Canis lupus familiaris: one gene and its partner. The protein of the gene in region 2 purifies or fractionates together with the protein of the main gene of each other region. This does not show direct contact. Links are inferred from orthologs where the notes say so. Each region holds a gene or a part of one and is shown on either strand. Other genes may lie near its edges. The genes, in order: IKBKB and TRAF3IP2.

Evidence for each region.
Region 1: the proteins of TRAF3IP2 (region 2) and IKBKB purify together in Homo sapiens (affinity purification with western blotting; 3 studies listed by BioGRID, with this or other methods). This does not show direct contact. The link is inferred for Canis lupus familiaris from reciprocal best matches to the Homo sapiens genes TRAF3IP2 and IKBKB.

The regions. Positions count from the first base shown.
Region 1 is NC_049237.1:24,149,593-24,154,160, reverse strand, and holds the start of IKBKB (inhibitor of nuclear factor kappa-B kinase subunit beta), read left to right. Parts: upstream 1-1,466; 5' UTR 1,467-1,638; intron 1,639-2,171; 5' UTR 2,172-2,189; coding exon 2,190-2,294; intron 2,295-4,568.
Region 2 is NC_049233.1:68,460,184-68,463,993, forward strand, and holds part of TRAF3IP2 (E3 ubiquitin ligase TRAF3IP2), read right to left. Parts: coding exon 3,271-3,810; intron 3,263-3,270; exon of another isoform or gene 3,016-3,262; intron 2,594-3,015; exon of another isoform or gene 2,526-2,593; coding exon of another isoform or gene 2,321-2,525; intron 1-2,320. UniProt on the Homo sapiens protein: E3 ubiquitin ligase that catalyzes 'Lys-63'-linked polyubiquitination of target protein, enhancing protein-protein interaction and cell signaling. Transfers ubiquitin from E2 ubiquitin-conjugating enzyme UBE2V1-UBE2N to substrate protein.

The DNA of each region.
Region 1 (4,568 bases), on a different chromosome or scaffold from region 2:
CAACCTAATACTGCCCACATTTTAAAGAAGAGAAATGGGGGCGCCTGGGTGGCTCAGTCATTAAGCATCTGTCATTGGCTCAGGTCATGATCCCAGGTCCTGGGATGGAACCCCAGGTGTGAGTGTCAGGCTCCCTGTTCAGCAAGGATCCTGCTTCTCCCTCTGCCCCTCCCACCTTGTGCTCTCTCAGTCAAATAAATAAATAAAATCTGGAAAAAAAAAAAAAAGGAAGAGAAATAGACGCTTGGAATGATTAAGTAATTGGCCCCCAAATCTCAGAGTAGTCAATAGCAGTGTGAGGATTCAAACTCCAGTTTGCCTCCTTCTGAATTTCTTAGTATGATACATTTCATCAAATATTAAGAGCTTGGACCTAAAAACCAGCCTCTTGGGTTGGACTATCAGTTCATACACTTACTAGCCTGTGACTTGGACATATTTTCCTATCTGCACATCAGTTTTATCACCTATAAAATGGGGATAGCAAGGGGATCGCTGGGTGGCTCAGCGGTTTGGGGCCTGCCTTTGGCCCAGGGCGTGATCCCGGAGACCCGGGATCGAGTCCCACGTTGGGCTCCCGGTGCATGGAGCCTGCTTCTGTCTCTGCCTGTGTGTGTGTGTGTGTGTGTGTGTGTGTCTATCATAAATAAATAAATCTTTTTTAAAAAATGGGGATAACAAGAACAAGAATCCAATCCCTCCCGATGTGGAGGGTTGCCCTGGGGATCCGCAGAAGGAATTGTAAGTACAGAGTGTGTGTAGGCAGCGCCCGGCGCTTCGGAAGCATCCTATAAAGGGGAGCTATATTCTTCAGGTTTCCTCCAATGCTACTCTTCCTGCTTGGGTCAATCTACCAACACACACCAGCTTGGTGTTAGTGCAATGCACAGAACTGAGAAACTCCACGGCACACCTCATTACCACGTCAGGCAGGTAGCAGCGGACCGGCGAACCTCTTACAACTTCCCTACATCACTGCGGCGGAAACTACGAGGTTTTCCCTCCTTTCATTTTTCGTGAAGGGGGTAGTAGAGGCTGTGGCTTCTTGGGAGTACATCCGTGACTGGTCGTGCTGGACACCGAGCCCGAGCCCGAGCGCCGAGCCCTGCGGACGGAGGACGCAGCCTGAGGAGGGGCCGGGCAGTTGTCAGCAGGCCGAAAGGAAACCCTGGCGGGCGCGGGAAATTCCAGCGAGGGAGCAGCCCAGGAAGCGGCGTCCATTACCCCCCGGAGGGTTCCCGGGAGGAAATCCCCGTCTCCCCCGTCCCAGAAACCGCCGCAGGTTCCAGTCACCGTGTACCGAGTCCGGCGCACTCGGGCTCGTCTTAGGGCCCCAGGGGCACCGCCTGTCCGGGTGCGGGGGAGCCCGCTGGAAGCCGCGCGCCGCGCCGGCGGGTCACCGCGGCGACGACCCCCCGGGCCCCCTGTGGCGCCGCGGCTCCTTTAAGGGCGCGCGGCCCACGTGCCCCGTGACGTCAGAGCAGGAAGTGTTTGAGGAAGTGGCGCTGCGCTGGCCCGTTTGAGATTCCCGCATTTTAATGTCTTCGGGGAGGCGCCAGAGCCCCCGGTTTGGCCGCCCTAGCCCCCGCCTCCCCGGTCCTGGGGAGCGGCTGCCCCGCCCCGCGCCCCTGCCGACAGGTGAGTCCCTCGGGCGGCCGCGGGCCAGGTGCCGCCGGCAGACCCCGCGCCCCTCGGCGCCCGCGAGCCCGCCCCCTCCTCCCTGAGGCTCCCGGAGACCCTGGGGTCGGGCTGAGAAGTCGGGTTCTCCGGGCGGACCGCGGGAGCCGGGGTGACTCCGGGGGCCGCCTGGAGGCGGGGGCTCTGGGACCGTGTGAGGACACACGTGACCGGAGAGCGTGCCCCGGCCACCCAGGGCAGAGCGCGCGGGACAGGGCGCCCTCGCTGCGGTCCGGGGGATGCCCTTTGCGGGCCTCCGAGGGACTGTCCTCCCCGCCTCCTTCCCTTACGGCTGAGCGGGGTGGGGGTGGGGGGGTGACAAAAGTTGGCTACCCAAACCCAAAACCAAACCAGACAGCCTGGTTCATTTATAAAGTGAAAACCAGCTCCTCTCTCGCACCGAAGGGCAATGTTGTCTCTTAGCTTCTCCGTCTGCTTGAGTTCCATTTTCTCTTAACCTTGATCTTTTGTCCCCTACACCAAATTGTTTACAGAGTTAGCGCGGCAGCAGCATGAGCTGGTCACCTTCTCTGCCAACCCAAACATGTGGGGCCTGGGAGATGAAAGAACGACTTGGGACAGGGGGATTTGGAAACGTGATCCGCTGGCACAATCAGGTAGGGGCGCTGTGCACCTGGGCTGAGCCAGAGGCCGGGAAGACAGGCTCCTGGGAACTGCCTCCGCCCTACACTGTGCTGGGTGGGGGACGGGGTTCGTCCTTGGCCCTGGGCTTCTTGGGGGAGTGAGAAACGGGAACCGTCAGGGGGCTTCCGAGCTGCTCAGCTGCCTCTAAGTGGTCTCCAAGCTTTACTGACTATGGCCCCCAAATTGTAAAAATATTTTAACTTTTATATATCTTAAACTAGTATCTTTATTATCATCACGCTATCATGTACTAATATATTGTGTATTAATATTGAAATACAAAAATTGAAAAATTTAAAGAATGAGCATCGTAAAATATATTTAAGTGTTTAAAGAATTAGCTCAAAAATATTTTATTTATTTATTTATTTTTTTTAATTTATTTTTATTTTTTATTTATTTATGATAGTCACACACACACAGACAGAGAGAGAGAGAGAGAGAGAGGCAGAGACACAGGCAGAGGGAGAAGCAGGCTCCATGCACCGGGAGCCCGACGTGGGATTTGATCCCGGGTCTCCAGGGTTGCGCCCTGGGCCAAAGGCAGGCGCTAAACCACTGCGCCACCCAGGGATCCCCAAAAATATTTTAAATACATACTAATTATGTGTTCCCACTATTGTTTGCAATACTGCACAGCACAGACTATACAGATCCATAATGAAACAGAGAATTATCAAGGACAGTGGGTGAAAATCCGTATTTCAAATAATTTTTATAATTTGGAATTATTTGGACCTATTTCTGACTGATTAGATCCTGATTGTTTTTACTCTTTATGTGTCTGAAATAAGTTTAGTTTCTCACAATAGAAGTGTTCCTCCATATTCCTTTTTGCTTATGCTGGTGTTACATGTACTGAAGTCCTCTGCAGAAATTTCTTTAGCCACTTGTCCATTTTGTGAGAGTCATTTTATTGACCTCAGATACTACGATCCATAATCCACCTAAGCAGGGGCACATGTAACCTGAAACATGTCTCCATAGGCCCCTGTCCACCACTCCCTGTGGAATGCCCATTTTCCTCAGTATACCTTGGGTCCACGAGATATATGATCTTTGAAAAATAATCTGAGGAAGATTTCATAAAGTTAATATCAAAAAAGCTTAATTTCTATTTAATTGTTTTGGATTCCAGTCTTGGGTAACCCTGGTGCACATCTACCCCATTTGGAGACCACTGCTCTAGGGAACCCCCAGTCACTGAGTAACTGAAGTTGGCTTCCTGACTCCAAAATCAGACCCCCGAAGTCCTTGAAGGAAGCACTTGCTTTTTGATCAGGGGCTGCTGAGCACTTTTTTGGACTGAAAGGAAGTGTACCACTTCTTGGGAGCCAGCTGCAGCAGCCAGCGAGAGAGTCATCAAGGCTACTGGCCAGCCACATCAGAGAGTCATTCCAGACAGCCACGCTCCTTTATCAGTTAGTTGGAAGACATTCTAGGCCCTGCCCTGAGTCCTGTCAGCTCTGAGTAGATGGAACGACCCCTGGAGGAGTGGGAGCCAGAGCTGGAGGGCACAGTCCAGTTCCGGAGGTGGTAATTCCCACATTGAACTGGGAAACCAGAATTCCTTTCAGCCACAGCTGGAATTCCTTTGAGCCACAGCTGGCTCAAATGTGTTCTGGTCCGAGTAGAGCTGTGGGCCTCACATTACAACATAAGAGCCAGATCATTCTATGGCCCCACATATACCTGGGCTGGGCTGCTTCTAGATAGGCCACAGCTTTTAGATTCTTGACTGCAGCAAATATCTCAGCAGCTGAAGTAGAGATGGTTTTCCTCAAAAGGAGTTCTGTCCAGGTGTGCCATGTGTCTGTCATTTCTAGCTCAGAATGGCCTCTATGAATTTGGAAAGCTATTGTCAGATGGAATTTGTTCCTGGCTTTATAGATATGGGCCTGAAAAAAATGTGTGTGTGTGTTTGTGTGTATGGATTAGTCTTCTAGAATTACTACTTTCAAGTTCCCCTATTCGAAAACCAGTAGCCTTCATTTTTATTTTATTTTTAATTGAAGTTGGCATACATTATTACATTAGTTTTAGGTGTACAACATAGTGATTTGACGATTCTATACATTATACAGTGCTCACCATGAAAGATATAGTCCCCATCTGTCCCCATCCAATGTTCTCACAGTATTATTGACTATATTTCCCATGCTGTACTTTTCATCCCCCCATGACTTATTTATGGTACTGAAAGTTTGTACCTCTTAATTCCTTCACCTATTTCAACTATCCCCCAA
Region 2 (3,810 bases):
AGAAATCTCATAGCAGATATTAGAGCCTGAAAGAGTCTCCAGTCAGGGATGTTTGCATTTTCAAAGAGTCTGCCCAGAGGGGGCAATTTGTGCTCACCTCCCAAGACTGGACTGCTCATGGTGTCATTTCAGGCATCAACACACACACAAAATATTTGCAAGTGGGAAGATCTATCTGGGATCCTCAAATCATACTGAGTTAATGCTTTCTTTGTCTGTCACAATGAGGCTTTCTCCTGTTAGCGGATAAAGGGAACTGCCTGGGACTTAATAGCACAAAGCCCTAAGTATTCAGACTTCTACACGTTAATCTAAGGAATTAATCGGAAATGCAGATAAAAAAGTATGTACCTGATGTTCGTCCTAGCTTTGCTTACTGGATCAGAAACTGGAAACTATTTACATTGTCCAGTAACAGAGAGTAGCTTCAAAAACAAGTTGATGGAATCCATCCGATAAAATACGGCGCAGAATTTTTAAATGATGCTGGAAGAAGTGACGGAAAGTCACTGGGAATTATTTTAACTTTACATCAAATACATATAATCTATTTATATATATATATATATATATATATATATATATTTTTTTTTTTTAAGTCAAATCCCAATAAGGAATTATAGTTAGGAGATGGAAATAGGGATGGGACGTTTAGGCACATTTCAATTTTGCCAGCAAACATATATTGTTGCGGATCAGGAAAATGATCTTTAAATGCAGATTGTAGAATGTTAGAAAGTAGTTTATGGCATTATCCTCACAGAATTATCCCCTTTGAACCTGGAAATCATGGAGAAATAAATCCGCCCTGACGCTACCAAGGTTCACTCCTCAGTGATTCATCCCTAAGGAACTCTGCAACCACACCCGTCCTATTACTGGGCACTTAGAGCAAGCAGTGGTGTCCACAACCCCCAACTGGTGACTTCCCAACCTCCAAGACTCAGGGTCCCGGTTTTAGGCCTCAGAGGCTCCTTCTCCCTGAGCCCTGCTGCTTCCACAGCTCCTGGCCTCACCCTTAACCTCACATTCATTCCTCCTTTTTTCTTGCAACCTTATCTTCTAAGTTCCTTTACGACTCAGCTCCAGGGTCCCTCTGGAAAGCTCCCAGACCCATGCCTCCTTCAGGCTCCATTTCCTCGTGCGCTGCCTGTCACAACGCCTGACGTCAGTATGGCATCTGCTCACAGACCGCCCAGGCCTACCTCTCCCTCCAGAACGGAAGCTTTCGTACATCAAGACAAAAATCTCTCCCTCTTTTTTAAAAAAAAATTATGAATTACGCTGCTGGTCCATTCACTTTAGGAAGCTCTATATGCATTGTACATGGACCAATATGTAAATAATTGTGATGGTTACAGCATTTTGGGTTATTTCTATAATTTATTTTAAAGCCAGGCATCAGGCCTTTGGTCAGATTCTGGTCTGACCATTTGAACTGCTTTTTGTACAACATTTATTTGTTAAGAAAACTATCATATCTCATAGCCCTGTTATTTCCCAGTGGCCTCGGCGGAGACTTAACATAAAATATGGGGATCCCTGGGTGGCTCAGCGGTTTGGTGCCTGCCTTTGGCCCAGGGCGCGATCCTAGAGTCCCGGGATCGAGTCCCACGTTGGGCTCCCTGCATGGGGTCTGCTTCTCCCTCTGCCTGTGTCTCTGCCTCTCTCTCTCTCTCTCTGTCTATCATAAATTAAAAAAAAAAAAAAAAATCAAAAACGGACCAGAGCACCTGGGTGGCTCAGTCCGGTAAGTGTTCTCCATCAGCTCAGGTCATGGTCCCAGGGTCCTGGGATCAAACCCTGCATCGGGCCCCCTGCTCAGCGGGACACCTGCTTCTCTCTCCCTCTGCCTGCCGCTCCGCCTGCTTGTGCTCGCTCTCTCTCTCACTCTCTGTCAAATAAATAAAACCTTTAAAAAAAAAAAAAGGAATTGTAATGGACCTTTTGTCTCAATCTGAGACTTGATCACTTTCAGAAATGCTTACTGCAATGACACAATGTATTTACCCAGAAATAATTTACTAAGAGTCTAGTATATGCTGGTCACTGTGCTAAATGCTGGAGAATTATGGATTAAAAATATACCTTTGCTGGGGCACCTGGGTGGCTCAATGGTTAAGCTCCTGGTTCTTGGTCATGAGACTGAGACCTGCTCTGGGTTCCAGACTGGGTGTGGATCTGGCTTAGGATTCTCTCTCCCTCTGCCTCTGCTTCTGCACCCTCCCCTTCCTCACTTCGTGTGCACGTGTGCTCACTCTCTCTCTCTAAAATAATAATAATAATAATAATAATAATAATAATAATAATAATAATATACCTTTGCTGATATGCTTGATGTGCTGGATGGAGAGGTGGACAAGTCCATGACTAGATGCCATACTGATACTAGGTGTTCCAAGCGGTAGAGCGCCAGGAAACTGAGAGCCTGAAGGAGGGATTGATCTGAGGAGCTTTCCAGAGGGACCCTTGAACGAAGTCTTACAAGGTGTATATGATGATGGTTGGATTAGGTCTGCAAGCATACACTGAATTGTACACCTAACTGGGTCAAAGGCGAACTTCACAGTTTGTAAATTAGATCGCAATAAAGCTGTTAAAAAAAGGGGGGCGTAGAGCTGGGTTAAATGTGCAAGGAGGGGAAGAACATCCTGGATAGGGAAGAGCAAGGGCGAGCACTTGCAGGTGTGAAGCAGGTAGCCGGGGTCTGGGGACTGTGGTCCTCGGGGGTGGGGGTGGCCAGGGTGTCAGGTAAAGGCTGGTGGCTGGAGCATCCAGAGGTATTTAAGCAATAGCATCTCAGGAGCAACTCAATCTCCAGGTAAAGGCATGAATCCAGAGCATCAAGAACATTCTGGGAATTTTGACTGAAGGCCTCTTTGCCAAATCTCAGATAGGTTAGAAGCACGCAGTGAAGGAAGAACCCGGATGCCCAAGCATTAAGATGACAAAAATATACCCTAGAAGCCGCTTGGGCCGTCTCCCCACCTGTAGGCAGGTGTCAGCTAAACTAACCGAGACGGAGGGGTCTGTTTCCCCTGGAAGTTTCACGGAGAGTAGGTTCCCAGTGGGGCAGGCGCTGGGCTAGGATGAAGCATCCTCCTAAGGCTCCCGGCAGGTCCAGGCGCTCGGGGACAGTCGCCCCCGGGAAGCAGAGCCGGCCTCGCTGCCCCGACCGGTCTGGGCCGTCTGGGGCCCTGGCACCGACACGAAGCCCCGGTTTCCTTAGTGACCCAGCCCGGAATGTCCAGAAGGGTGGCGTTCACTTACATGGCACCTGGTGATAGGGACCTCCGGGACAGTGGTGGTGACAGTTCCACGGAGCATGCGGGGGAGGGTTGGGAGGCAGCAGCTGCGCACACGCCGGGTACCTCTGAGGTTCGAACTGAGGGAACTCCCGGGACCTGAGCGGCCCGGGGAGGTCCTGGGGGTAACACACGGAGGTGAGGGGCAGGGGCCTCTCCAGCTGCCGGATGCCCAGCACGTCCTGGGGCTGGGAGTCGTAGCCCGTGTCTACCGTGGGCGGGTCCCGGGCCGCTGGGCTCCTGCGGGGCCGGGGCCGCTGCACCGTGTCGTGGCTGCTGGGCCAGGCGCCGGCCGAGGCGCTGGGGCAACTGTGGTCTGAGTGGTCGGAGTCATGGCCAGTGTCAGGGGAGGCCGCTGAAAGCTGAGATCCTGGCCATCGATTCCGTTCTTCCATAAATGAAAACTGCTGCCCGGGAGGGGACGCTCCGACCCCAAAGGGCCGGTCTTTGCCCGGGGCCGGGTGTCTCCTCCAGAAGCTGTCTTCCGTCTCCTCCAGGATTTTAG